Caenorhabditis elegans: one gene and its partners. The protein of the gene in region 1 purifies or fractionates together with the protein of each later gene. This does not show direct contact. Each region holds a gene or a part of one and is shown on either strand. Other genes may lie near its edges.

Region 1 (7,883 bases):
CCACGCAATAGAAAAATTCAACGCGCCTTCAAATGCGCGCGATTTTTAGAATTTTCAATTTTATAAAATTACCTCATTTTTAATATCAGTCATTTTTCCCGTGTTTTATTTCTTTCTACGCGAAATTTTCTTTCAAAATCATTTTCGACATTTTCAGAAAATGAGCCGACGAGCAATTCTTCGTCTGCTGCTCGCGCTGCTCGCGTTCCACTCGGCTGCGGAGGCGGCTCACTCGCCCGTCGCCGAGGTTGTGGGAACCGAGCAGTACCTGCTCATCGCGCAGCAGGACAACTACAGATTCGCCGAAGCGAACGTAGAAGCGGGACAATGCCCGCGGGTCATGGAATCCCCGAAAAGGTTTGTTTTGCCGGAAAATTTCGAAAATAATTTAACAAATGTTAATTTTCAGCGAGCCTATTCCCTACCGCTTTGTCGGCGTTCACCTGGTCCGAGATCCGGATGGCATCCATGCGCCGAGGGTGTTGACTGTCACAGAAGACAGTCTCACCTACAATATCAAGATCACGGATTTGCATGTATGCTTATTATAGTGGTTGAAGTGTTGAATTTCGTATTTTTTAGATGTCGAATGGCTTCGAGAAGAACTCCGGGAAGCGGGAGGAGAACATTGGGTCAAGAGAGTCGATCTACCGCGAAGACGGGGCTCGAGGAAAGGCGAAGAGAAATCTGGCCCGTTCAATGTTCGACACGACTCGACACATGCTTTACCTGGACTTTTCAGCTCCTCCATTCTACGATATCGAGCAAATTTACTTGCATGGCATTTTCAGCGGTAATCACTTGCTTAATAAGCCTGCCTTTTAATCATAATTTTTTATTTTCAGATCGATTCGACAAGCTGCACATCGCAAAGTACACTGGCCACGCTGTGAATGGACTGTTCGATTGGGTCGAGGATCCATACACCGATGCAGTTTACTACAAGGAGCGAATTAATGGCCACGTGGAGATGTTCCAAGCAAAAATCAAAGATGTCGTGCCGATTATCACCGGAAAAATGGCTGGACGACGAATCGAAAATTCCTTGTTGAGCGGCGAACTCCAAGGTGTCTCGAACGGAGTATTCTACGAGACGAGTGTGAGAGATGTCAACGAAACGCATCAGACCCTGTCCTCAACGCTGACAACACTCGATTCGGAATGGAGTATCACTTGTAACGCGGAGACGATTTACAGTGTTGTTCCGAAGACCAACAAGCTCCTCATCATCAGGTTTTGAAGAAATCATCGATCTTCGAATTTAATATTCATAATTTCAGGGCCAACGATTATTGCATGTTGAGAGATGGAAAGAATTACAACAAGGAGAGCTGTGAAAACGAGCAGGCAGACTACCTGGCTCGCAATAATCCGTCTGAGGTGAGCTGGTTGTGTTGAAGAAATTTATAAATTAAATATATTTCCAGACCGACAGCAATGTGAACGCGATGATGTGGCTGATCGTGTTCTGCGTCGTCTTAATCCTTCTCGTGATTCTCCAGTGCGTCTACATCTTTTGGCTCCGATCGTCCTTTGTCTCGGCTGACGAGGCCTCTCATCATCAGGATCAGGAGACTGAAGCCTCCATCTTCATCGCGAAACAGCGCAGCTTCCCAGCGAGTTTCCATGAGCCAGGACTTTTGGATGTCTCCGTCGACAAGTGGAATTAAATCATTTTTATTTGAATTTATAGCATTCTCGTTCTTTTTCAATCTTTTCTAGCCTTCTATCCTTCTAGACACTAGACACTGTCATATTCTCATCTCATAATTTTTAATTTTTTACTTTTTTTTTTGTCACATTTCCTAGCACTTTCTGTTTCTTTTTTTTATATAAAATTAAATATTCCGCATTTTTATTTGTTTTAATTAATGATCTTTATCTTAACGTTGTTTATTCACCAACACTATTTTATTTTTGTATTCGAGTTTTCGAGACGCATCGATCACGTTTCTCCAAGTGCACACGGGTCAAATGGTGGGCAGTTGCAGGTCTCTCCACGTGCTGTGGCCGTCTCTTAGTCTCTTGCACTATCACTTTTCCCACTCTCTGACTCTTTTTTATTTCTTTTTCTTCTTTTTTTGCTGAGAGAGAGAGAAAAGCAACTGTTCTTCTTCTTCTGTCCTATTTGCCACTCCTCCCGTCGTCTTATCAACAGCATTGAAACTTCAAAAACTCGCAGATAGAGCTTTTAACCTTTTAATTTTCAATGTTCGCGTGTATTTTGTGGCTTATTTTATTTATTTCTTAGTTCAAAATTCGAAACGTGATCAGTAATGTTTAGTTTTCATTCATTTCGCATTATCCGAATCGTCAGAACCACCACGCGACCGCCCATCTCTTGTGATTTTCAATTTTTCTTCTCGTGCGTTTTCAGTCATTATCTTCTAATTTTCAGCTCTAAAACTTGCGGTACCCCAGAATGTTGTCTCGTCTTGCTCGTGTTCAGGTAGGAGTTTCTTTTTATAATATTTTTTAACAAAAAATCGTGTACTTCACACATCACTTGCAGTCTGTGCGACAGTTGTCGTATGGGGTGACACATTGAAAAAGAAAACGAAAATCAAACAATCAAAACTTCAAAACTTCAAATAATATTCTAATTTCAGCCAAAATGCCAACAGCTCGCCCACTTCAGCACATCGAAGTCTGCTGCCGCCGCACCAGTGAGTTTCAGGCTTGATCTTAAGTTTCCAAATCCAAATTCCATAATTTTTCAGACTGTCAAGCTGTGGATCGATGGACAAGCTGTTGAATCGAAGACCACCGACTTCGTGGAGCTCACCAATCCAGCCACCAACGAGGTCATCGCTATGGTGCCAAACGCCACCCAAGCTGAGATGCAAGCCGCTGTTGACTCGGCCAAGAATGCCTTCAACACCTGGAAGAACACGTGAGTCTTGAATCCCGTGTGATCTTTTTTTTTTATTTCAATAATAGAAGTTTCCAGATCCCCACTGACCCGTCAACAATGCATGTTCAAACTTCAAGCCTTGATCAAGAGAGACATGAAGAAGCTCGCTGAGAGCATCACCATTGAGCAAGGAAAGACCCTTCCAGATGCCGAGGGAGACGTCAGCAGAGGTCTTCAGGTCGTCGAGCACGCTTGCTCCGTTCCATCCCTGATGATGGGAGAGACCCTTCCAAATGTCTCTCGCGACATGGACACCCACTCCTACAGAATCCCACTTGGAGTCACCGCCGGAATCTGTCCATTCAACTTCCCGGCTATGATCCCATTGTGGATGTTCCCAGTCGCCTTGGCCACCGGAAACACTATGGTCATCAAGCCATCCGAGCAGGATCCAGGAGCAGCTCAGCTTCTTGTCGAACTTGCCAAGGAGGCCGGAGTTCCAGATGGATGTGTCAATATTATTCACGGACAGCACTCTGCTGTTAACTTTATCTGCGATAACCCAGATATCAAGGCTATCTCATTTGTTGGAGGAGATGCTGCTGTAAGTTTTTTTGAATTTGTTTTTTATGAACATTAATCAATTTTCATGATTTTTTCAGGGAAAACACATCTACGAGCGTGGAGCCAAGAACGGAAAGCGCGTCCAATCCAACATGGGAGCCAAGAACCACGGAGTCATCATGGCTGATGCCAACAAAGAACAGACCCTCAATCAGCTCACCGCTGCCGCCTTCGGAGCCGCCGGACAACGCTGCATGGCTCTCACCACCGCTGTGCTCGTCGGAGAAGCTCGCGCCTGGCTCCCAGAACTCGTCGAGAAGGCCAAGAACTTGAAGGTCAACGCTGGATGGAAGCCGGATACCGACATCGGACCACTGATCTCCAAGCAATCCAAGGCCCGTGTCCTCCGTCTTATCGAGAGTGCCAAGAAGGAGGGAGCTCAGGTTCCACTTGATGGATCCAATATCACTGTTCCAGGATTTGAGAATGGAAACTTCGTGGGACCAACGATTCTCGCTGGAGTCAAGCCAAATATGACTTGCTACAGAGTAAGATTTTGTTTTTTTTTAAATTTGTTTAATTTAATATTTAATTTTTTGTAGGAAGAAATCTTCGGCCCAGTCCTTGTCGTCATGGAGGCCGAGAACTTGAACGAGGCCATCGAAATCATCAACAACAACCCATACGGAAACGGAACGGCCATCTTCACCAGCAACGGAGCCACCGCCAGAAAGTTCACCAACGAAGTCGATGTCGGACAAATCGGAATCAACGTGCCAATCCCAGTTCCACTCCCAATGTTCTCGTTCACCGGCTCGCGTGGTTCATTCCTCGGAGATCTCAACTTCTACGGAAAGGCCGGAATCCAGTTCTACACTCAATGGAAGACTGTCACTCAATACTGGAACGAGTCGCTCACCGAGCTGAAGCCACAAATGTCGTTCCCACAGCTCAAGTAAATTGAAATTCTGTGAATTCTGAATTCTCTCATCCATCCCCACACACAATCACTTCTTGGTTCTTTTATTCTTGTTCAATAACGTTTATTGCCATGGTTTTTTGCAACCTCTCATTTCTTGTTTGTTCATATATAATACACATTTTATCATAAAAGTGACGATTAGACCCGTAAATGGAATGGGGGAAAATAATCACAGTTCAGAGAGAATCGTATTCGAATGATTGAAATCATAATCAAAACGTGGATAGTAACTATTCGGATCGGCAATCTGTTTATCATTCCGTTTGGAACGAGCCGCCGTGGGTTCGTCGATTTCCAAATCCGATTCCTCATCCTCCTCACTATTTGAAGTTGGATCTAGCGTGACGGCGATTATGATTATACCTGGAAAATATAAAATATTATTGGGACGTAGAAAAAATGCCCAATCAACGTGAAAACGCCCTCCACGGCAAATTGAAAACGCTCCGCCTCCTAACCGTGGGTCTCATTAGGTATTCTACCAAAATTCAGCATTTTCAATTAGCTTCAAGTGGTAACTTTCAAGTTACCAGTTTTTCCTAACGAGACCCAACTATTTGAGGCGGAGCGGTTCCAATTGGCCGTGGAGCGCATTTTCTGCGTCTTCATAATAATCTAACCTGTGATAAGAAGAGCAACACTGATAAGTGATACGATAAGCACCAATGCTACCGAAACGGACATCGACTGTGGTGCATTGTTGTTGAATGGACTGGCGACCGTCGGCGACGGGATCGCGCTGTCCAGAATTCGGCGGGCTTCCTCGTCTGAAAAAATATTTTGAGGAATATTGTTGAATTTTGTAATTTTTTCACCAAAAAATACGGTACTGCTAGGGTCTCGACGCGACCGGAAGTTTTCTGCAGGAAAATTGTGTGCGCTTTTAAAGACTACTGTAGTTGTGAAATTCTCGCTGAATTTTTCAAAATCGTATTTTTCATAAAATATTGATATATTTCAGATTTTGTAAAAATTCATTTGCGAAGATTGCGAAATAACGGGAAATGGGTTACTGTAATTTTAAAGGTGCATACTTTTTGTTGGGTAGATTTGAAAATATTTTGATCGCGTCGAGACCTTTTTTTTATGAAAAAACGTAATAACTTATAATTTTCGATGTTTTTTTAACTCTAAATAAGTTTTATAAAATTTTGCGCCTTTAAACAACTGGTTACTATAACGAAATTTCGAAAAAAGCCTACCATTTGCATCAAAAGCGATCACAATTTTGGAATTCGCATGTGAGACGGCCAAATAAATGAAGGCGACAAAAATGAAACAGGTCAGTAGAATAATACGAACCACGCAACGCATTCAATCATGAGCAGGTGCTGAATGTTATGACGATCAATCTGGAAATTGAGATGGAATTTTAGGGAAACAAAATGAATTATATCTCCTTTCCCATTGTAGGTAATAAAAAAATGTAGAAAATGTAGAAAAAATTGTGTACTACATTTTTCCAGTTGACAGTTTTTGTCTACCTAGCCTGGCAATAAAGTTATGAGCGTTTGAAGACAAGAAGAATTTGTCATACGAGAGAGGGGAAAGGCCGTCGTCGATACATAATGAATATTGGCCCAATCAATTCGGAAGTCCCTACTTCGCATACAAAACATATGGACTCGTCGAAGCAGAACGGGACTGCTCAACTCGGAGCACACATGCACACAGAGCAGGAGAGAGTCCATTAATTTTGCGGCGGGCGCCTCGCCTTTTTCTCTTTTCTCCTTTTTCCCTAAAACATTCTCGACTAATGATGAATGGGAATGACAGGAGAGAATGCAAATCCGTTCGGGAAAATGGGATTTTTGGAAGAAAATTGGGTACGGGTACTGTAGCTTCTAATCCTAGGTTATTAGGGAAAAAACGGGGCTCTGTAATTTGTTTTTCAATTTTTAGAATAAGGAAAATAAGAAAATAATTAGGATCTGTATTAGGCTTTTGACATAGGCTAGGCTTACGATTACGTTTGGGCTTGGGCTTAGTCTTAGGCTTAGGGTCAGGCTTAGGCTTAGGCTTAGGCTTAGGCTTAGACTTAGGCTTAGACTTAGACTTAGGCTTGGGCTTAGGCTTAGCAATGAAGCCGACGATAAGGTAAATTTATATAAAAGCCAATGTTATAAAACTCGGCCACTGTCTTTTTGTGGCTGTTAAAAAATCTATGTGGCCGCGAAAAAAATTAGTGGCCGAGTTTTTCTTTCTTTCACAAAACTGATATCAAGTTCCTGTTTTCTCAAGTTGCTAAATTGCCATATTTTCGCGGACACGTAGCATTTTATTAGTGGGCGTGGCCAAACGAGACTCCAAATGCCGTTTTTGTTTTGGCCTGGTAATCGCAATCCCGTCGGGCCGCGGAAGTGAAAACTCGGCCACAATATTTGCTTTTTGTAATCAGTCAAAAAACTCGGTCATCGATTTTATTTGCGGCCCCGTAAGTGGTGAGTCCAAAGCGAAAAGTCGGGAAAGTGCAAGAAGCGAAATTAATTTAATAAAAAAAAGGGACAGAGTTCATCAAATTGAAAATTCGATAGACTGACAAAAATGACTTTTTTTGAGGAATAGGAAATAAAAGTTAATTAAAAAAGTTTAGAGCTTTTGCGAAATGGCCGAGTTTTCGCATGAACACGCACTTTTCAGCAGAAAAAAGTACAGACTAATGGAAAAATATTCAAATTGTTCGCACGCATGTGTAGGAGTATTTCCGATAATTGTGTCAAAAATCATATGCAACTTTAGGTTTCAAAAATTTCCAAAAATATATGAAAACTTCCGAAGAAAAATTTAAATTTCCAATGAGAACATTTCAAAAATTCTGCAAAAAAACCGGAAACCCCCGCTCGGAAGTTGTGATATCTGCAGTTCGCAACAAAAAATAGATAGCTCCACGCCCTTCCATTTCCGGCGGCGGGAAATTGAGTTTGAGTTGTTTTGGAATAGGAGGAGGAGATGAGAATAGACATACAGATAATGATCATGTTCTTTTAGTTTTTTAGTTCGGGGTTTTCGGCGATCTAGGCATACTGATAAGGTTATATACATTTTGGAAACTGACTCGGCCATTTGGGAAATTTCAAAGTTATTGCCAAAATAGTGAGTGTTCGAAAAATTAAGTTTTATATTTAATTAGGAAATCATGTGCATATTTATAATAATGATTACTTTATTTTATTTTAATTGTTTTAATTTTGTGATTAATATTTTGTTAGTTTGTTTTGGAGATAAATTATTTTAAATTAGAAAAAGCACATAATCGGCCCAATTTTCTCCGAAAAATTTTCATATCTGGTCAGTGGAAAAAGTTATCAAAAAGTTGCCAACTAAGTAATTGTTGCAAATTTAATTTTAAATAGTTTGATAGTTATTATTTTTTTACAAAAAATTTAAGCACAAATATCATATTATAACGTTCCAAAAATTGAGTATTTTTAAACAAAATTTTTACAAAAAATTGACACCAGATTCCAAAAAAATCAAAGCTAA
Region 2 (7,099 bases), about 11 Mb from region 1:
GATTCTTCCTTTATTAGGAATAATTTGGTTTCCGGTGGAACTTTTTTTTGTCAGAAAAATAAAATCAAAAATCAGTTTGTTAAAAAAAATTCTACCAATTGAAATATAATAAGTGGTATACATATGCCAATTGAATTTCCAAGTACTTTTCGCGCATTGAAAAGATCCGGATTTTCCGTTCCAAAACCTTCACTTTATGCGCCGCCCGTCTCTATTTTCAGCAGGAGAGGGAGTATATAAAAGACTAGTTCTTGCCGCAAAACTTCATTAAACCATGAATTTGAACCAAAGTTGTTCACTGAAAAAGTTTCAATTATCTACAGTAATACGTGTGTCTTTCATCGCTTCGTCCCTATTGATTTCGTTATGTCTGTTTTTGATTATGATGACGTCACGGGAAATCTCCGAGTTCCGGGAGCAGACTCTGGATGATTTAAAAGAATGGAAGGTTGGTCAGACTTTTTATTTGCCTGCACCTGGACAAAAAAGTTTTCCAGTACTTCTCCGACGCCGCGTGGAATGAAATGACGTCACTGACAATTCGAAAAGCCAGAAGTCCATCAACGACAGGAAACTCTGGAAATGCCGGAAAACGATTCTGGGCAAAACGATCTTATGATAGTTATGCTCCGCAGCAAGTGAATTCGTATGCAAGAGTGAATAGTTATGCGACTGCACCCGTTTTACAGCATCCAACACAACAGCAATGCAGTTAGTTTTTTTTCTTCAAAAAATAACATCCATTTTGCGGGCGGAGCTTGGATTCTGTGAGAATTTTCGTTTAAAAAATGGGAAAGCTCGTTCAGCAAGATACATTTGTGAGCGGAGCCTAATATCCATTTTTTGGGCGGAGTTTGGTCACAATTTGACTATTTGAACATCTTGTATCTCTTTTTTTAGAAGAAAATTATAATTTTATAGAATTTTGCGAAAAACGGAAAAGATAAAAGGGCAAAAACTAAAAACGAGACTACAAACTACAAAATTCAATTTTCAGATTGTGCCCCACAAGCCAACAATTGTCCACCAGGACCACAAGGCCCCACTGGTTACCCTGGAGCTCCTGGAGAACCGGGCTCTCGGGGTCTCGATGGACGTCCAGGAGCCAATGGTGTAACCCTTATAGCTTACGATCAAGAGATTCCAGGTTGCATACAATGTCCCCAGGGTCCACAAGGTCCTCCTGGTGCCGTTGGGCCTTGTGGACCTTCTGGAATTCCCGGGCTCCCAGGGAATCCCGGATACACCTCTCCTCCAGGACTTCCTGGGCCACCGGGGCCTTGTGGTGAAGCTGGACGGGAAGGTCCCAATGGTACACCAGGCCTTAAGGGAGAGCCTGGAAATAACTCGATCCGTCAGATATCCCTACCAGGCCGTAAAGGCCCTCCAGGACTTCCTGGTCAATGCGGACCACCAGGGCCACCTGGATATACACCGCCTCCAGGACCACCAGGAACACCTGGAGTTCAGGGAGAAGCTGGACAGGATGGAGAACCAGGGGTACCTGGAGTTACTGGCTATCCAGGAGTTCGTGGGCCACCGGGGCAGGATGCTGAATATTGTCCGTGTCCACCAAAGAACGCAGGAGTCAATCGGAATAGTTATGTGCAGCCGGCACCAGGTAGGCTACTTTTTTCCATTAAGTAGGCGGGGCTGATATTACGGCCTAAAAAAACTCAAATTTCAAATTTCAACATATTTTTTACAGTGTCCACAAGCTACGCCACAGCATCCCAAAGCCGTTACGTGTCAGAGTACAATAAAGAGGATGAGTACAGGAAACGAGTGCTGGCTCGAGTGCTCAAGAAGCAGAGACGACTACTTTTGGCGACAAGAGCAAAGAATGTTCGCCGGAAGCCTGTTAGTCACGCTAGTCCGTAATTATTTTTATTTTTGTGAAATAAATTTGTATAAACTTTTTCACGGACGTTTCCAGAAAGTATACTGTCCCAAAAATTTTAATTGGGCTTCGCATGGGCCCCGCCCACAAGGCTCGGACAGAAACCCTTTGTGAACGGGAAGATTTTTTTTCTGGAAATTTTAGAATTTTTTCTGAAATTTTCTTTTGGCAAAATTCCTAATGAAATCAGTCATTTTGTGGGTGGAGCTTATGAGTGTAATAGCGAAATTGCTTGAGACCAGGACGAATTTTTTATAAACTTTATTCTTCACAAAATACAAAATACAAATTTCATATATTTATCATTTCTTCTCCGTGCTCTTCAAGAATTCCAGAACCTTTCCGGAAAACCATTTGGGATATTTCAAATAAAAATCGTGTCCTCCTTGTGCATGAATCTCAACTTTTGCCAAACTCTTGAGCACTGGGATGAAGCATACATTCGGGTCACCACAGAACCGGTCCAATCCACCATTCATCACTAGTGTCGGGCATTTGACTTGTGGAAGTACCAGGTCACACGGGAAACGGCCACCGCAGAACGAGTGAACTCTGAAAATTCGTTTGGTTAGGTAGGAAGCAGACGTAGGTCGCCTTGAAGGTAGTTGGCAGACATATTTGTGCCTACAGGAATATACACAACTTCGCATAAGCCCCGCCCACAAAACTCACTGATCTACGACGTCACAAAGTGCCGCCCATTGTGTCCGGAGTGTTTCCGGCGAATAATGGTCCAAATATGGTTGACGACCGGCTGCTAGCCAATGATTTGTTTCACGCATTCCTGAAATTCCAAAAATTAATTTATAAAGAGCACAAAACCAATAGATGGCCACACCCATAAAATGGACGTTCGATTTATTTTCCCATAAAAAATCTTGTAGGTAGGTAGGCATAAATTGCTGCTTCTATGTGGAAAAATGGGCCATATTGGTGTCAAATTAAGAAATTTCATTAAAAAACAGTAATCTTCCAAATATATCTAAATATCTCACCCTTGAAAGCCATGGCTCCTAGATGATTAACTTTTGTTGCACCAGCCATTACAATCATTCGATTCACTTTTTCCTTTCCTTTAGCTGCCACGTGGACCGTTGTTCTAGCACCTTCTGACCACCCCATCACGGTGAACGGCTCTAGTTTCAGGGTCTAAAATTTGGAGGCTTTTTGAAAACGTAAAAATTTTAATTTCAAAATTAAAAGCTCACCTCCATTAACCCTAGGCAATATTCACTATCCTTCATACATCTCTGAACTTCTTGTTTTCGCTCTGGAGGTCTTGAGGTACCGTAACCTGGAGGATCAATCCCAACAATTGTGACCTGATCTGGTGGGAAATGAGAGAGCAATTTGAGTGGCCAATCTTTTTTATAGCAGCCGACAGCACCGCAAATCGCGAGAATGTAGTTCGGACCGTGGCCGTATTTACAGTAACCGATTTGAGTGTCCTTGATGTGTTCCGAACTTTCGATATAGTCGCTTTGAGTCATTTTTCTTTTGCTGAAATTTATTTAGGTGTTTAATTTGTTAATTATGAGGTAGCGACGGTGAGGAAATTTTCCGGATAATATAAATGTTTGAGACACCTTTGTGACCTTTGAGACCGCACACCTTTGAAGTACATCTCCCCGATTTCTTCTATCCTAGAAAGAGACGTAACAAGGGTCAAGGTTCAAATGTATTGCTAAGAGAACGCCTCTTGTGGTGTGGTAGTACTACAGTATTTACAACCTACTAGTACAGTAGGTCGTATATATTGTTATTGTCGATGATTTACAACCACCGGATTGACCTAGAATTAACATAGGTATTTGAAATCGGTTTAGGCCAAATAATTATGGTTCCGCGACATTTATAGAATTCGGAATTTTCTGAAGAGCGAGAACATGTATTGTGAACCTCTACAATATTTAAATACAGAAATGTAGAGTACAAAACATTGTTTTTTGATCGACTTCCAGAATTATGATACGTGAAAACTGATAGTGAATATTAAATTATTCGAAAATCGGACACATGGAATTATTGATCTCAAAAATTCGGTGAAATAGGCTAAAGAGGAAGGAAAACCAAAGAGGAAATTTTAAAAGTGCATGTATTTGAATGACGAATAGTTCTACGAAAAAGATTTTGAAAGTCCGATAGGAATGAGAAATTTGTAGCCTACAGATTAAGATTTCAGAAGGAATTTGGACAAGACCGGATTAATTTTGTGCCTGTAAGCTGCGGAAAGTTCTAGAACCATCTGGAAAATACGAGAAAGTTTTGGAATGTTCTAAAACCTTCTGAAAAATTAGATAGAATTCCGGAATGTTCTAGAACTATCTGGAAAATACGAGAAAATTTTGGAAGGTTCTGGAACCTTCAGAATAATTCGAGAAAATTTTGGAAGATTCTAGAAAGGTAATAAAAATTATTAAAAAAAACATAACCACTAAAACACCGAAACATCTAGTTATTTGTAATATAAATGTGTAGTTTCTAATAAAAAGGAACTATGAAACAGTAAAGTAAACCTTTTGATTTATACTGGGAGAGTATGCAGATTTCAATCTAGGATATGAGGGTAAATAGGGAATAACAGGTGAAAGTGTACAAACGCAGTCGGAGGAAGATGTTGTTAAGATGAAAGAAGAAGGAGAAGAACACAGGCACTTGGACACACAGAGGGAAATAAATGGGAAATGAAAGGGAAAAGGGATATGGAAGAGACAGAAAATTGTTCCTATTGTCTGAAGGTATTGTATAAAACCGCAAAGAGGAAATTGATGATCGAATCATGTGATTTTGCGGGGAGTGCTGAAAGCATTTTTTTCAGATTTGTCAAGCTTGGGTCTTTGATCTTTTAGGACAACACAGTTTTACACATCTGGAACAATGCGGCTTCACCCATGTTGTCGAACACAAATAAATTTTTATGAACCAAATTTAATCAATAAAACTTGAAAATTACAATATTAGAGAAAAACTTGAAGACGATTTTCTCATTTTCCAGTATTCCCTTGTTTCCGTGTCAATGTCCAAGACTCCACTTCCACTGGATCTCCAAGCGGCTCCCATTGATCCGTGAGCTGTCCTTGTCGATCTCTGAATACTCTAGCTCGTCTTAGGATTCTTCTATATACTGTCGCAGGGTACTATGTGTCGCAGTGTTCATTGGGGTCCTGCCGGTTGACAACTTGCACAGGGACTCTATCAAAGTTTTGATCATGAAATACAGGTAGTTGTTGCGCTGTTCCCTGGAAGATTGGATTGATTGAACAATTTTTTTAGCATCACCTTTTTAAAATATCAGTTTTTAACTGGTCGGTTAAAAAATCCATATATGCCTGCCACCCGATATCATCATTTTAGGTGACTAGCGGGCCTATGGGCCCGCCAGCCCTTCGGGAATGGGGATAGGGTTAATTCGCTCTAAGTTATTAGCAAGGTAGCTGGCGCAGGTTCTCGGCTTTGCCTCGAACCTGTTAACGGGTTATTCGAGATCTCTTTGAAATTATTTCAGGAGTGGGGTATATGTTTAGAAAACTTGACTATTCAGGTTTGAGGCTTCGCCTCGAAGCTCTTACTGTGTAAATTGAAATCTCTTTAAACTTTGATTCATTGCTCCAGGACCGACACTGTACGAATAACTTAGGCTGAGATTTTGTTCAAGAATAATTAGAATGTATTCAATAAAATAAGTGAACAAAAATTAGGAACAGAACCGTTTTGAATGTCATGATGTATAGGTTCCTTAAGAATAAAATATAATTGTTTCAAACTGACGGGTTAATAATGTTTTAATTCCCTTAATCCACTTACCAGATCGACTTCAAGAATCCTCCTGGAAACAATTCTCGACTCTCCGGACAAAATCACAGTTGGTACATTTTGACAAAAAGCATAGGAAATAAGTAAAACGATTCCCAGAAGAATCATAGCAGCGAAACTGAATGAGGAACTTGTTGTCAAACGATAATAAGCTTATCAGTTCGTAGACTAATGATAAGACTAACATGCTAACTGGTAGGCAGTTGCAAAACATCTAGAGGTGCTTTCCATTTGCTTGCAGGAATCGTCATTCTTGGTTTTTGGATTGTATGCTTTATTATTATTAATGTTGTAACTTAAATAAATAAACGATCAAATAAATAGAATTTCACAGAAATTATAACATCAAAATCCTTTCAATACTTTGCGGACACATTGAGCACCGGGATGGTGTTAGAGGTGCCGTTTCGAATGGAAATTTCCATTACTTGGCACATGAAATTCGAGAGATCACGGCGGACACGTGGTGTGAAGAGGAAGATGAAGATTGCATTGGAGACGGTTAGCATGTAGAAGACGACGAAGAACTGGAAAAAAAAGTTTGTAAGGGGGCTGCGAGCAGACTTAGGTTACCCATTCATGCATGAATATGATGATTCCCCAGGTGATAGTGAATGCCTCGAAGAGCTCGTACATAAGCATCCAGAATTGGAAAAAGGAGTGGATGATGATGAAGTAGAGCAGGGTATGATCATTTTTGTGGTATCGCTCATTTCTTGGAAACTCTCGGATTCGGAAACTTGTCATGAAAATGTAGACGTAGGTGATAGTTAGGAAAATTATAAGCCAGGCAATGATGATATATCTTTGGATCTGGAAACTCCACACATTTTTAGAAAAAAAATCTTGCAACACTTACAATTCCCATGTAAGCAGGTTCAGTTGAATATTTCCATGCACTTCCATCCCAACTCCAAACTCTGTGGCAAACCATTGAGGGGATTGAGCAGACTGCAGCTCCAACAGTGGACAATGACAAGATTAATTTAATGTTTCTTTTGGAGAATGACTGAAAGTTTTGAAATTGTATGAACTTCAGATCTTCAACATACGTTATGGAACGTGATGAAGGTTGCAAAGTATCTATTGACTGCCATAATAGCACCACCAGCGATGTTCAGTAGGTAGAGGACACAGGTTCCGATGCTTGCCATACGAGTCACATAACCGAGAATGTCCCCATGGATGACATACTTTTGAAATGTCATCCAGAAGAGACAGATGCAGTGGAGAACATCGGCGATTCCTGGAAGGGATTTGAAATTTTAGATAAAGATTTAAGATCGGTAATTTAATCATATTGATAATCTGTGAGCCAGTTGAAAGCGTTTCCTTTTTTATAAAAAATGTTCAAAACAACTAAACGACACACATTTGTCGTATCTG
Region 3 (8,386 bases), on another chromosome or scaffold:
GAAAGAGACTAGATTGGCAATTATTATATATCAACTACATCATTCATACATATATAACATATAAGTGAAGATATATATATCAACCTGTTTTGGCAATGAGGCTGTCTGAAAGTAACAGGTTCGCGAAGAGAAACTGTTTTTGCACGCCGTCCGCGTTCTGACCGCGCCCCATCCGCGCCCATTCCGCACTCCTTCCGCACCCCTTCCGCGCCCCGTCCGCGCAACACGAACGACAATCCGTTATTACGCTTGCAGTTTATAATTTTTTGGCACATTTTCGATAATTTTTATTTAATTGTTTCCAACATTGTAAAAATATTATTTTCTTTTTGTTTTGTACAGTAACATGCCTAAAGTGTATAGTTTCAGGGCTTTTCTTCAAGTTAAATATGGTGACCGTGAAATTTTCACCGATTGTTCCATCAATAACAAAAGTATCTCTAAAATCAAGCTTTTCGGAATTGTACGAGTATCGTGGACTTATCGATTAAGGAAGAAGGTAAATAAATTGCCAAAAACATGTAAATCAAATAATTCAATCAATTTTCAGATGAAAATTGGATTGTGTTGGAAATCCGCCAGGCGAATGTCATTTGTGTCGTCTACTCGGTTACAGACGAGTCCACTGTTGATGGAATTCAAACAAAGTACGTTTTCATTGAAATTATCTGTTAAAAAATCAATAACTTTGAATTTTCAGGTGGCTACCCTTGATTCGCCAGTCCTTCGGAGAGTACCATAAGACTCCGGTCATTTTGGTAGGCAACAAATCAGATGGGACTGCAAATAATACTGATAAGATTCTCCCCATAATGGAGGCAAACACCGAAGTCGAAACTTGCGTTGAATGCTCGGCTCGCACGATGAAAAACGTCTCAGAAATCTTCTACTACGCCCAGAAAGCTGTGATCTACCCAACAAGGCCATTATACGATGCAGACACCAAACAACTGACAGATCGCGCCAGAAAAGCACTGATTCGAGTCTTCAAAATTTGCGATCGAGACAACGATGGATGTCTTTCTCCGAGTGAACTTCAGAATCTCTTCTCAGTATGCCCGGTTCCAGTTATTACCAAAGATGTCGGTTAAAATATAAAAAATAAAATACATTTTATTTCAGCTTTTGATTGCTTATCCCTCGTTTTTCCGTTATTGTCCGTCCAATTTTGACTGATTTCCGATCACTTCGGCACGTAAAAGTCCGCGAAATTGGAGATTTTCACTAAATTTTATATAAAGGAGGAGAAGCGGACCTAAAACTGCACGAATTTGCACGAAAAAATGACAATTCAATAAAAATATAATTCCAGGCAGGTGGAAATTTTGAAAAAAAAGATCTTCATTAAAAATTCATTTTATTCAGTTTTTGTAATTTCAGGTCGTGCTGGGAATACACTCGACTCGATCAGAGTGACTCGTGAACGGAAGAAGGATCTAGAAAACCATGGAACCGACCGAAAAGTCTTCCAATGCCTGGTAGTCGGAGCCAAGGACGCTGGAAAAACAGTCTTCATGCAATCCCTAGCAGGACGTGGAATGGCTGATGTAGCACAAATAGGACGTCGTCATTCTCCATTCGTTATCAATCGTGTCCGAGTGAAAGAGGAGAGCAAGTACCTGCTTCTGCGTGAAGTTGATGTTCTCTCACCACAAGATGCGCTGGGGTCCGGCGAGACGTCGGCGGCCGTCGTCGCTTTCCTCTATGATGTCTCGAATTCATTCGCGTTCTGCGCCACAGTTTATCAGAAATATTTCTATAGGTGGGTTTTCAAGATCCAATTCCCAATAATTTCAATATTTACAGAACAAAAACGCCGTGTGTCATGATTGCCACAAAAGTTGAACGGGAAGAAGTTGACCAGCGTTGGGAAGTGCCGCCGGAGGAATTCTGTAGACAATTTGAGCTCCCGAAACCAATCAAGTTCTCGACGGGCAATGTAGGCTAGCTTATAAGCTTATAAGCTTCAACTGCGGTTTCACCGTCTTAATATTTCAGATTGGTCAATCCTCTTCACCGATCTTCGAGCAGCTCGCCATGATGGCAGTTTATCCACATCTCCGTCGTGTTTTCTACCTCAACGACTCGAATCTTCTCTCCAAAATCACATTCGGCGCTGCCATAGTAGCTCTAGCTGGTTTGCAACACCAGTCTCTCGCCGTCTAGGATTCAATTGACCTGCAGCCAAGCTGTCTTCAATCCGTTAATTTTTTAATTTTATTTTTCCATTGTTCGTTGTTGTAATAAACGCAATTCTTATTAATCTAAGATTTCAATTTTAATATGAAAATCGGCGGGAGCGAGAAAAAAATCGAACCGGGCGCGTAGTGTGTGCGAAAGAAATGCGCTCGGCGCGCGAAAATTGTGCGACTAGATCGCGAGACAGTAGTCTAGTCGCGCCCCGTCCGCGCGCCAGTCGCACCCTCGTCGCGCGCCAAGGGAGCCAAACTACCGAGTACAGTAGTCATTCAAAGAACTACTGTAGTTTTCGCTACGAGATAATTTGCGCGTCAAATATGATGTGCAGTACGCATTCTCAGCATTTCGTGTTCCCGTAATGTCGCTGTGTAGAATTTGACCCACAGAAAAGGGCGCGCAAGGAATAATGGGCGGAGTTGAAAATGCAACTCCGCCGCACTGTTTTTCGTCTATTTTTCCGCATTTTTAAAAATCAAACAATCAATTTATCTTAATTTGTCAGGTTGAATAATCGAAATCTTGCTTTAGAATTACTTTAATTATTTGATCTTGCTGTGAATATTTTAAAAAAACAGTTAAAATTTTAATTAAAATAGAATCGTGCGGCGGAGTTGCGCTTCCGACTCCGCCCATTACTTCTTGCGTGTCGTTAGAATAGACTTACTGCCGCATATGTAGCTTCATCCTGCCCAGATGCTCGATGAATGTTGGTTACAATGACTCCTGGGCTGAAATTTATTTTAATTATTCTCAATTTTTGGGCTCTTAATATGAAAATATTTAAATCTCACCAAACAGCATTAACACGAACTCCATTCGGAGCCATTTCCAGAGCCAAACATTTTGTGAATTGATCTACGGCCGATTTGGACATACAGTAATATGTGACCCCAGCGAACTGAAAATTGCGAATTCGAAATATATTTTTTTTTAATTTCCAAAAGAAAAATCATACAGGGCACGGTCCATTAATACTGCTGACATTGACAACAGTTCCTTTTGTTGTAATAATATGTGGAAGAGCTGCACGTGTCAGGCGGATCAAACTACGAACATTCACATTCATTAGCTCATCGTAGACTTCAATTCCAGAATCGAGAACTGGTCCGGCACGCAGAATCCCGGCCGAATTGATCTGAAATTTAGAATATTTTAAGGGTAGAATGGGAAATTTCTCGAAAAAAAAACTATGGATCCTGGAAAAGTGAAGTTTTTTATTTTTCAAGTTTAAATTTTGAATAGTATTGACTTCATAAAATTGAAAAAAAACCTATTGTAGTTCCGCAATTGTTCCTGGGATACGAACTTAAAGGCGCACGCAATTATCTAGTTGGGTCTCACCGCGCAAAAACATTTTTCGTGGCAAGACCCAACCGAATAAATCCGTGATCCTCTATGTACGCGTTTCTGAAAATTTTGTAAATAATAAATGGATAAACTCTAAATTTCCGAAAAACTTTTCTCTCGATAGTTTCAAATTGTTTCGAACTGAATATCCTCACCAATGAGTCAATTCTTCCGAATTTTTGTACAGTTGCATCCACAATTGCTTTGGGCGCCTCATCAGAGCTCAGCTCCACTGCAGTTATCAGAATCTGGAATGAAAATCGATTTTTTAATTGATGTCGCTATTTTTTCCACCTAAAAACGTTCAATCCCCTTTTTTTGCAAAATTTTGCGATTTTTGGTCTCGAAACGACATAATAAAATTCATAGCTACAGTACCTGCAAGTGTTTGTAATTTTTAATGATTTTTAGTATACTTCTTGATATTCGATGAGTTTTAATATTTTTTTTTGTATGTGTCAAGACCATGGCGGCGGTTTTTTTTAATTAAAAAAATAATTTTTTTTGTTTTTTCGACAAAAAAACGGTGTTTCCAAAAATTACAAACGAGGAAAAAAAATCGAAATTTTTTTGTGATAACTGCTATCATGAGAACACAAAATTCTGAGAATGCGTAATGCACAACATAATTGACGCGCAAAATATCAAAACTACAGTAATTCTTTAAATGACTACTGTAGCGCTTGTGTTGATTTACGACACCAGAGTTACAGTAGTAATTTGAAGGATTACTGTAGTTTTCGCTACGAGATATTTTGCGCGTCAAATATGTTGCGCAATACGCAATCTCAGAATTCTGTGTTCCCGTAATACTGTACTTTCCGTCACAGTTCCTAAAATATAAAACTCACATCATCAGCCGAAATTGCACCCTCTGAAATACATAGTGCTGCGACTTCCTTCAAAGAATCCGTATTTCTTCCGGTCAGCGAGAGTTGGTACTTTTTTTTCGCGAACAGAAGAGCCGTGCCTTTTCCGATTCCCGAACTTGCTCCGGTGATGATGGCGACTGGCATTTTCGGATACTCTGAATAAATTCAAAACTGAATCAAAAAAAAATCGATTTTTTTTCAAAAAAAAAAAAAATTAAGCAAGGAAAAAACCACTATAAAGGATTCAATAAAAACACAATTAAAAAAAATACATGTATCTCTCTATTTATTACATGATAAAAGTTCAAAACAATCTCAATATGAGACAAAAAAGCTAATATTTATCTCGGATGCATGATTCCGCGGCCTCCGTCAACACGAAGAAGTTCTCCAGTAGTGAATGAACTTTTCTCAGAGGCGAGGAAATAGATTGCCTCAGCAACTTCATTGGCATCACCGGGACGGCCGAGTGCGTGTGTCGTTTTACTACGTTCCAAGAACTGAAAGAAATGATGATATTTATTTGTCAAGGTCAGTGCAGCAGGTTTTATACCGCAGAATATGTTGTCTCGTCTTGACCAGATGTACGATGCAGGTTGGTCACGGTGACCCCTGGGCTGAAATTTTTGGAGAAATGACAAATTTATATGGGTTTATTAAGGGAACACAATATTTTGAGAATGCGTATTGCGCATCATATGTGACGCGCAAAATATCAAAACTACAGTAATTCTTTAAATGACTACTGTTGCACTTGTGCCGATTTACGGGTTTTTTTATTTATCAAAAGATTATTGAAAATGAGAAAATAATACGAAGAAACGAAGAAAATAAATTAATTTCCAAAATCGAGCCCGTAAATCGACACAAGCAGTACAGTAGTCAGTTAAAGGATTACTGTAGTTTTGATATTTTGCGCGTCAAATATGTTGCGTAAGACGAATTCCCAAAATTTTGTGTTCCCGTAATACGTGTGTTGTTAGCGTTTCATTCGACAAAAAATGAGAAAGTTAGCGATTTTTGCACCAAAATACGGTAACCGGTCTCGAAGCGATCTTTTTTTTTTCAATTCAAAAGTGCGTGCGCCTTTAAAGGAGTACTGTAGTGTACTGTAGTTACTTACTCCTAGTTTTTGCGAGATTTTTAAAGCAATTTTCCATAGTTTAGCTCCTGTCTTTTAAAAAATTCGTTTTTATTCAAAAAATATAAAAATGCATCAAAATTTGAACAAAAACAAGAAAACCTATGAAAATTCGGCAAAAAGTTAGAATTTTCAGGAAATTTTCCTAGTTTTTTTTTGTGATTTCGTTCTTACTCATATTTTCCGATAATTTTTCGATTTTTCGAAAAAAAAAAAGCCAAAAATATTTTCGATTTCAAAAATAAATATTTTTCCGATTTTTCGCAAAATATCTTGAAATTTTGACAATTTTTCTTCTTTTTGGAAGAAATGTATATGTTTTCTTATTTTTCGAATATTTCTTTAAAAAACCTAAAAACCGAAAAAATCGTAATTACAGTACTCCTTAAAGAGAATCGATCGCTTCGAGACCTGGCACCGTAGTTTTTTGGCAAAAATCGCGAGAAAACTCACCAAACAGCATTAACACGAACTCCATTCGGAGCCATTTCGAGAGCCAAACATTTTGTGAATTGATCTACGGCCGACTTGGACATACAGTAATAGGTTACATTTGGGAACTGAAAATTGCGAATTTGAAAATTATTTTCAACAAAAAAATAACATCATACAGGGCACGGTCCATTAATACTGCTGACATTGACAACAGTTCCTTTTGTTGTAATAATATGTGGAAGAGCTGCACGTGTCAGGCGGATCAAACTACGAACATTCACATTCATTAGCTCATCGTAGACTTCAATTCCAGAATCGAGAACTGGTCCGGCACGCAGAATCCCGGCCGAATTGATCTGAAATTTAGAATATTTTAAGGGTTTAATAATTCAAGAATCGGTTGGAGAGTTTTTTTAAATGTTTTCGTTATCCCCATATTTTCTTTTTACAGGTTGGTGCAATTTTTCTCGAAAATAAAAATGAGAAAACTCTTTAGGCAGAAATTTGGAAAATTCGAAAAAAAAAGTATCTAAAAAAGCGCGCAAACTTTTTTCTCAAAAAATTTTAAAAAATAAAAATTCTAAGATCTCTGAATCTTAATGTGAAATGCGACAAAAATAATTTTAATTTTAAAAAAAATAATTAAATTTGGGTGCAAAACTGAGCTACAGTACTCGCATATACTACAGAATTTTTTCAAATTTTCCTTCGATTTTTATATATAAATTTTAATTTTTCAAACAGTTTTTTATCGAAAAGTATAAAATTCGATGAAAATTCCGCAGAAACAAAAGAAAATACAGTACTCTTTAAAGGCGCGCACCTTTTTACAAGTTGCAAAAATTAGTCGTGGTGAGACCAGATACCGTATTTGTAACGCAATAGTAGTCGCAAAACTTCACATTTGGATAATTTTCTGTGCATTTTTTTACAAAATTCGCAATTATTACGTTTTCAAAAAGAATTTTGAACTAAAATTTTTTATAACGGGAACACAAAATCCTGAAAATGCGTAATGCAACACATTTGACGCGCATAATATCTCGTAGCGAAGACTACCGTAATTCTTTAAATGACTACTGTAGCGATTGTGTCGATTTACGGGCTTTATTATCTTGATTATGAGAATCAAGCCCGTAAATCGACACAAGAGCTACAGTAGTCATTAAAAGAATTACTGTAGTTTTCGCTGCGAGATATTTTGCGCGTCAAATATGTTGTGCAGTACGAATTCTCAGAATTTTATTTATTTTTATGTTCCCGTAATAGTTCTAAATTTTATTATAACTTTCCAAAAATAACCCCCCACCAATGTGTCAATTCGTCCAAACTTTTGCACAGTCGCATCCACAATAGTCTTCGGAGCTTCTTCTGAAGCCAACTCAACAGCGGTCACCAGTACATCATTCTTATCACTTCCAGCACTGACAATTTGCCCGGCGAGCTCATTGAGAGCCGCCACATTCCGTCCGGTAAGTGAGAGCTTGTAGTTGTTCCGGGCGAGAAGAAGAGCCGCCGCACGTCCAATACCAGAACTTGCACCTGGAAAAGAGGGGAGAGGAATGGAATTTCAAGTATTTAGAGTCATTATTACCTGTGACAATTGCGACGGGCATGGTTGACCTGCAAAATCAAAATTAAAATTAAAATTGAAAATTGAAAATTGAAAAAAAAATCTTTGAAACAAATAATAAACGGCATCCTAAAAAAACGAGACCCAGAGAAAAATACAAATTTTGTTTTCTCCGCTCCTGATAACACATCACACATCAGGAGTTCAACTTTTCCAAATTTTTTTGCGCGTAAACTGTGGTGCATTAGGTACATGACTCAATGCATCACATTTGACGCGCAAACTTTTTTATTTCAAAATCCATGTCAAACTGTGGGTTACTGTAGTTGATATTTGAAAAAATTGCTATTTTTGTGCCAAAGCTACGGTGCCTGGTCTCGTCGCGATAAATGTATGTTAAATGTAAAAAGATGTGCGCCTTCAAAGAGTACTGTGTCAATGAAAATTCCAAAACGAGAAATTACAGTGCTCTTTAAAGGAGCACACCTTTTCGTATTTAACAAATATTTGTCGTGTCGAGATATGGAGAAAAAAATCGTAAAATTTTGATGCAGAAAAATGCGATTTTTGAAATCGAGGTGCAAGCGCGCTCCACGGTCAAATGGAAAAGCTCCGCCCCCAAACGTTGGGTCTCGTTAGGTATTACCGCTTTTTTGCCGATTTCACCTGTTCTCAAGCATTTTTTCGTGTTTTTTCAAGATTTTTATATCGAAATTATGTTTTTAAAATTGCATTTAAAAGGGAAAACCGTTATTTAATTTGATTTTCCTTAATTTCGACACATAAAACTAGTAAAATCGGCAAAAAACCATAAAAATT
Region 4 (6,709 bases), on another chromosome or scaffold:
GGTGAGAATTGACGAATTAAACTAAAGATTTGGGACAAGAATTATGTAATAATACGCTGAAAAAGAAAACGAAAAAAAAAAACAATTTTTCGGTAATTTAAAGGAGCATGAACAATATGTTGTAGATTTTTAATTAAAATCGTTTCAGGACCCATCGCAAAAGTGGTGTGCCCCTTCCAAGGTATATTTTCCATTCTCTGAATTCATAATATTTTGGTAAAGTTATTTTCAACGTAATTTGTATAAAATCTTTTGCGAGTTTCTAGCAAATTTTTACTTTTGCCCCGAAAATACGGTACTCGGTCTCAACACGACAAACTTTGATTAACTTCGAAAAGGGATGCGCCTTTAGGGAGTACTGTAATTTTGTAACATTTTGTTGCCGTAGAATTTTCTATAAATTTAAAGAAAATAGGGAACTAAAAAAAAACCATAAGAAATTGTCGCGTCGAGACCGGTACCGTATTTTCAGCAGAAAAATTGCAATATTTCGCATCTAGATAATAAAACATTTTTACTTAAAAACATCACAAGCTTTATGGACAAATGATTTAGAAATTGATAGCATACTACATGGAAAAATAACAGATAATAAGCGGAATGTAAAAAAGGCTGAAAAATGTCGGTAAAATTATTGTGGAGTGATAGTCGATGTTCCATTTTCAGTGGTTATTTTGAGGAGAGCCCCGGAAGATGGACGGCTCGATGTTTCTGTGGTCCATTTGAGAAGATGTTCAGAGATGAATGAGAGTGGAGTCCAGCTGAAAAAAAAACATAGAAAACTATGCAAAAGAAAAAGAGTAATTTAATTTTACCTTGAATGATCAGCATTTGGCATCCATTTTCTGTTCATTGGGGTGTCCAAAGTGACTGGCATAATTGTCAAAACGGCCGAATTGTCAGGCAATCCCGAATCTTTGGCAGCCAATGAAGATGTCAGATGATGAACTGCAGCTTTTGCCATACCATATCCAATCATTGATGGAGTTGGTCCCATAGCAGCAGCAGCTCCTGTAAGCTGAAGAAGACCTCCCGGCTTGAGGTGAGTGGTGGCCAATTTGGCTGCAATTGCTGAACTCCAGACCTGAAAATTCACGGTAGAATAATACCAGATGTTTAGGATTAATATATGTTACCGATTGTTTGATCATTAAATCAGCATTTTTCACAAAATCTTTTGAAGAAGCGGAGCCTCCAGCCCATCCACCGGCAACACAGAAAACTCCATCAACCTGACTTCCCTGGAGAGATGAAGCAGTTCTGCAAATATTTTATGAGGTTACGGTAGCTTTTTTTTAAATTAAAAATACAACTTACTGCTCGAGAATGGATTGTTCTTGTTCTGTCCAATTTTTATTTCCGTCCACCAAAATATTACTGTCAGCTTGGTCATTGGCACTCAAGTCGATGTTTAGAACAGTCTGAAAATTAATGAAAATTAATTTACAACATCCTAATTCAATTTCTTTTAAAACTTACATAACCATTTTTCTTGAAGAATTCAAGAATAGCAGATCCAAGTGCGCCTTTGCCTCCGTATACGATAACTTTTCCACTGGACATTGTTCGAAACTGCAAGGAAAAAGTAAAGAATGACAATATGGAGGTTGAAGGACAAATTGGCCGCGTGGACGACGTCAAGGACGATTTTAATGTGATACTGGTATCAACGAGTGATCAGAGACACAGATTTTTAATGTTAAATGAGGGAAAACTTGATGGAATTCAGGAAAATAAAGATGAAACAACATTTTGGAAATCGGTTTCCGAGCTTGAACTCGAAACGAACTTTTGTTATCGAGAGTTTTATCAGTTATATTTTTGCAAGAAATTTGGCAGACATATCAATCGATAGCTCTTATTTAGCTCAACAACATTTAATATGAATCACAACAGGAAAATGTGAATTAGCTTCTCAGAATTCGTCAAAACATCGTGGGAAAAAATATAGGAAATTATTTTTTTACAATTGCGCTCTAATGTAGATGGCGAGACATCGTGTGGAAAGGAGAGACGATAGATAACTTTTTCTTTTCATTTAATTCTTTTTCTTGTTTCTATTATTATTTAAATGGTTTCGCATGAACTATTCATTTCAATTTATAAAATAAAATCATATTTAGAGTAAATTTTAAATATTTCAGCTATGAAATGCCATTACGAAGTGCTCGAAGTTGAACGCGACGCTGATGACGATAAAATCAAAAAGAACTACAGAAAACTAGCGCTCAAATGGCATCCCGACAAAAATCCGGATCGCATCGAAGAGTGTACTCAGCAATTTAGGCTTCTTCAAGCTGCGTACGACGTTTTGAGTGATCCACGAGAACGCGAATTTTACGATAGACATAGAGAAAGTATTCTGAAGGGAAAAAATACGGATTTCGAGGAACAATCCACGGATTTGTTCCCCTATTTCACCGCTTCTTGCTATCAAGGATATGAAAACGATAAAAATGTGAGAATGAAATCTAAAAAGTAAATCAAAATTATAAATTACAGGGCTTCTTCACTGTCTACCGGAAAGTCTTCAATATCCTAGTTTCTGAGGAATATGATGCGTACAACGATTCAACAATAGTCTATCCAGAGTTTGGCGACAAGGATACCGATTTGGAGCAAACTGTGAATGGTTTCTACGGTTTTTGGAGCTCTTTTTCGACAACTCGCTCTTTTGCCTGGCTGGATCATTATGATATCACACAGGCTTCAAATCGATTCGAATCACGGCAAATCGATCAGGAAAATAAGAAGTTTAGGGATGTCGGAAAGCAGGAAAGGAACGAGCAAATTAGGGTATGATTGTCCGGAATATTTAATTTTAAATTTAAATTTAACAAAATTTTTCAGAATCTGGTCGCTTTTGTTCGAAAACGTGATCCACGTGTCAAAGCATATAGGGAAATTTTGGAGCAAAAAAAATTGGAAGCACATAAGAAACAAGCTGATAATCGAAAAAAGCAGATCGCCAAAAATCAAGAGTAAGTTCCGAAATTGTGAAAAATAAGGAAAAAATTGAATTTTTCAGGCTAGCCAACTCATATCTGAACGACAAAGAAGCCGAGGCAGCCCGTCTTGCTCATTTGATTGAAGTTAGTCTACAAATGGCCGAGGATTACGATACTTGTAGTGATGAATGTGATGAAGAAGGAGAAGAACTTCCATATTGTGTTGTTTGTAGCAAATCGTTCAAAACTGTGTAAGCAGAATATTATAAAGACGCAGAAAAATGCCATTTTTGAAATGGAGATGCAAGTACGCTTCACGGAAAAATTAAATCGCTCCGCCTCCAAAGTTGGGTCTTGTTAGGCATTGGCTGCAAAACCTTAATTTCAAACGATTTTTGTTTAAAAAAAAGCTTAAAAAATGCACAATAATCGAAACATTGAGAATTGAAAAACGAAAATTATAGATTTATCGGAACTCCTTTAAAAAATTTTTTTTTGATCTTTTAAAATCGAAAAATCTAAATAAAACGTTTAAAAAATGAAAAAAAAGAAGAAAAATTGAAAAATTTGAGGTCATTTTTCTAAAAATCAAATTTTTTGAAATATTGAAAAAATTTTTAAAAAAACATCGAGAATTTTTTTTTCGAATTGGAATGAACCAAAACTAAAAAAAAATCGATATGTAATTTTCCGATATAAAAAAAAAGAAAAAAGACTAATTTTTCTTATCAAAATATACAAAACTTTATAAAAAAGTTGAAATTGTGTGTCAATTTTCTGAAAAATAATTTTTTTGATTTTTTGATTATTTTAGAAAAAAATGAAAATCCTTGAAGAAAAGTGAGAGACAAAAAATACGAAAAAATATTGAAAACGTTTAAAATTATGGATTTACCGCCACTACCTAACGAGACCCAACTTTTGTCCGTGGAGCGCGCTTGCACCTCAATTTCAAAAGTCTGATTATATTCATCTCTATAATATTCTTCAAACTTAATTTCAGAAACGCCAAGTTGAATCATGAGAACTCGAAGCAACACATCCGTCAGCTGAATGAGCTGAAAAAGCATATGAAAGAAGAAGATTCCACGATTTTCACCGAAGCAGAACCGAAACCCGACGAAACACCGAAAGGAAAGAAGAATAAGAGAAAGGATAGGAAAAAGGGGAATGGAATATTTGATGTGGAAGAAACAGAAGCAGTAGAAGCCGAGATTCAGGAAGCGCCGCCCGTGGAAAATGAGCAGCCGGAGGAAGAGGAAAAGGAATGTACCCCGGAAGTTGTTAAGAAAGAGAAAAAGAAGAGAAGAGGTACATTTTGTAGAATTGCAAAATCTTTAAAACAAAAACAAAAATTTTGTTTTCAGCTGATAAAAATCAAAACCCATCGGCGACAGTAGAGGAAGAAGCACCGAAGTCAACTGAACCAAAATCTGCAATTTGTGATAAATGCCGTGAGGTATTCGATAGCCGGACCAGGTTATTTGCTCATTTACAAGAAACCGGACACGCCACGTTGCTCATCAACAAACCAGGAGAAAAAGGACAGAAGAAGGCGAAAAATAAGAAGGGACAACGTGGAAATAAGGGGGATGATGAGGATTGGTGAAACATTTTTTTTTTGGTATTTATTCTTGTTCTAATTGTTTTGTTTGTGAAAGTTTAATAAATATTTTTCAAAATTCAATTTTATTGAAATGTTTCGGGAAGAATAATGGGCAAATAATGAGTACCAAAATGTTCAATATTTAGTATTCAAAGTTACAGTGAAAGTTACAGTGAAAATTAGTGGAAGGGTACATGAAAAAAAGTAATACAGATTAAAACATGACAAGTGAACGATGATGATTCATTAATCCTTTGAAATATTTGACCGTCTTCACTTTCAACTCCAACGTGGCATCTTCGTCGGCAATAAACGTTGCACATCGATGCATCTGCATCGCAGAGACCGTACACATGTGAGAGATTCCGCATTCGATTGCCTGATGAAGAGCCAGCGCTTTGTGTGATCCTGTGATGAGAATCATCACTTCACGAGCATCCATTACAGTCTGGACGCCGACTGTCAGAGCTTGTGTTGGCACTTTTGTGATGTCTCCACCGAAGAAACGAGCGTTAGCCTGGAATTATTATTTTACTCCTGATTCCAAATATCTATGTGCACACGCGGTTCTGGCTCATTTTGACTCGGCCAAGGCCGGGGTTTAGTTGCAACGCTAAATGTATTTGTCCGTGTGGAGTACACGACTTTCCAGCAGGCAATTGTCAATGTAGCGCGAAAAATTCAATTATTTTAAGACGACTTTCAAACGCGCGTCAGAAACATTCTCATTGGAGCGCGCTGTGACATGTCAATTTACGAGATGATTGACGTTTTCCAACAAATTTCGTTCAATTTCGTCGGATTATTGTTGTCAATGGAACATTTTTTCCGACAAAACTGAAGAAAAATCGTAAATCGACACAACACGGCGCGCTCCATTGAGAATTTTTCTGGCGCGCACCTGAATTGTATCCTCGTTGAGGGTCTTGATACGTGTACGGCTTGCCAGCGAACTTCCGGGCTCATTGAACGCAATATGGCCATCTGGACCAATTCCACCGACAAATAAATCGATTCCGCCAGATTCTTTGATTTTACGCTCGTACTCTTCACACTCCTTCTCGTGATCAGACGTATTTCCGTCGAGAATGTGAATCTGAAATTATTGACTTTGGAACCACATTTGGCGAAAAAAAAAAAACAACAAAATCAAAAAAATTACATTAGCTGGATTAATGTCAATGTGTCGGAAAAAGTTGTCAAACATGAAGGAGTGATACGATTCTGTATGGTCACGTGGAAGATCTGGAAATATTTATTAATTTCAACTAATTAAAGAAATATCAAATTTTTCTCACCGACATACTCGTCCATATTAAAAGTTTTCACTTTTTCAAAGGAGATAACTCCGGCATTGTAGAATTCGATGAGTTTCTTGTACATTCCGAGTGGAGTTGAGCCGGTTGGCAGTCCTAAGACGAGATATTTTCCATTTTCAGTCGCTTCATTGATCTTTGTAACGACATATCGAGCAGCGAATTCGGCGACTTTATCGGCGTTCTCCTCGATAATCAATTTCATTCTGGGCTGAAATCAAATTAGAAAATTAGGAAAAAAAAAGAAATTTCTAGAAATCAGAAAACTTTGAATAATTTCAATAAAAATGAAGAAATTTGACCGTCTGGTTTACTGTAAGTTTTAAAGGCGCACACAGAAAAATAATTCTTGCGTCTTGGAGGGAAAACACTTGTTCATTAATTATTTTTTTCAAAATAATATTTTTTTTTTAATTTCAAAGAATTCCAAAAGAGCGCCATGTAGGAAAAATGGTAAAGTTAAAATAGTGAAATCGAATCAAATTTAAATACTGAAAATGACAGCCTCGTTCTTGATAAATATGTTTCGAAATTTCGAAAGTGAGACAAAACTGACAATTTTCGCGGCATTTAACCTATTTTTGGCGCCGGAAAAACTGCTGAACCGGAACTGTAGAAAAGTCAAAATGTTCACTTTGACATCAACTTTCGAAATTCTATTCATTGCAAATCGAAAAAAATTCTTAAACTCCAGAAATCGTTCCAAAAATCGTAATAAACGAAAACTGGCCAGAATGTGCAGTTTTAAAGAGCAGTCAATGCTTATCTTATCGAACAATTTGTTGATAATTGACCGAATTTTCGCAAACAACAATATCTTATCGAAAGTGGGGGAAACA

What was found.
Region 2: the proteins of alh-8 (region 1) and K01A2.5 fractionate together in Caenorhabditis elegans (co-fractionation; one large-scale study listed by BioGRID). This does not show direct contact.
Region 3: the proteins of alh-8 (region 1) and Y47G6A.21 fractionate together in Caenorhabditis elegans (co-fractionation; one large-scale study listed by BioGRID). This does not show direct contact.
Region 4: the proteins of alh-8 (region 1) and qdpr-1 fractionate together in Caenorhabditis elegans (co-fractionation; one large-scale study listed by BioGRID). This does not show direct contact.

The regions. Positions count from the first base shown.
Region 1 is NC_003280.10:11,726,657-11,734,539, forward strand, and holds alh-8 (putative methylmalonate-semialdehyde/malonate-semialdehyde dehydrogenase [acylating], mitochondrial), read left to right. Parts: upstream 1-2,398; 5' UTR 2,399-2,422; coding exon 2,423-2,449; intron 2,450-2,609; coding exon 2,610-2,666; intron 2,667-2,720; coding exon 2,721-2,893; intron 2,894-2,940; coding exon of another isoform or gene 2,941-2,950; coding exon 2,951-3,458; intron 3,459-3,516; coding exon 3,517-3,966; intron 3,967-4,020; coding exon 4,021-4,377; 3' UTR 4,378-4,542; downstream 4,543-7,883. Other genes in the region: F13D12.5 (uncharacterized protein), read left to right, coding at 161-357, 410-536, 583-793, 846-1,233, 1,281-1,380, 1,428-1,670; F13D12.8 (Col_cuticle_N domain-containing protein), read right to left, coding at 4,570-4,763, 5,021-5,167, 5,603-5,714. UniProt on the Caenorhabditis elegans protein: Probable malonate and methylmalonate semialdehyde dehydrogenase involved in the catabolism of valine, thymine, and compounds catabolized by way of beta-alanine, including uracil and cytidine.
Region 2 is NC_003280.10:298,706-305,804, reverse strand, and holds K01A2.5 (AB hydrolase-1 domain-containing protein), read right to left. Parts: upstream 3,401-7,099; 5' UTR 3,391-3,400; coding exon 3,109-3,390; intron 3,050-3,108; coding exon 2,896-3,049; intron 2,685-2,895; coding exon 2,573-2,684; intron 2,453-2,572; coding exon 2,203-2,452; 3' UTR 2,146-2,202; downstream 1-2,145. Other genes in the region: col-69 (Nematode cuticle collagen N-terminal domain-containing protein), read left to right, coding at 275-448, 498-711, 998-1,621, 1,709-1,881; K01A2.6 (AMIN domain-containing protein), read right to left, coding at 5,038-5,139, 5,705-5,821; B0432.1 (Serpentine Receptor, class T), read right to left, coding at 6,070-6,240, 6,287-6,526, 6,573-6,722, 6,766-6,959.
Region 3 is NC_003279.8:3,555,235-3,563,620, forward strand, and holds the start of Y47G6A.21 (DeHydrogenases, Short chain), read right to left. Parts: upstream 4,574-8,386; 5' UTR 4,563-4,573; coding exon 4,398-4,562; intron 3,795-4,397; coding exon 3,702-3,794; intron 3,335-3,701; coding exon 3,155-3,334; intron 3,098-3,154; coding exon 2,991-3,097; intron 2,928-2,990; coding exon 2,864-2,927; intron 2,169-2,863; coding exon of another isoform or gene 1,999-2,168; intron 1,940-1,998; coding exon of another isoform or gene 1,807-1,939; intron 1,763-1,806; coding exon of another isoform or gene 1,381-1,762; intron 1,313-1,380; coding exon of another isoform or gene 1,123-1,312; intron 1,053-1,122; coding exon of another isoform or gene 701-1,052; intron 648-700; coding exon of another isoform or gene 551-647; intron 500-550; coding exon of another isoform or gene 347-499; intron 1-346. Other genes in the region: Y47G6A.22 (DeHydrogenases, Short chain), read right to left, coding at 4,760-4,918, 4,972-5,035, 6,013-6,119, 6,171-6,350, 7,304-7,536, 7,589-7,610.
Region 4 is NC_003281.10:13,388,773-13,395,481, reverse strand, and holds qdpr-1 (Dihydropteridine reductase), read right to left. Parts: upstream 1,573-6,709; 5' UTR 1,564-1,572; coding exon 1,480-1,563; intron 1,422-1,479; coding exon 1,318-1,421; intron 1,261-1,317; coding exon 1,137-1,260; intron 1,085-1,136; coding exon 816-1,084; intron 762-815; coding exon 632-761; 3' UTR 503-631; downstream 1-502. Other genes in the region: dnj-17 (DnaJ homolog subfamily C member 21), read left to right, coding at 2,147-2,458, 2,503-2,796, 2,851-2,981, 3,029-3,199, 3,952-4,259, 4,316-4,557; T03F6.3 (Glucosamine-6-phosphate deaminase), read right to left, coding at 4,769-5,071, 5,456-5,650, 5,717-5,799, 5,853-6,075.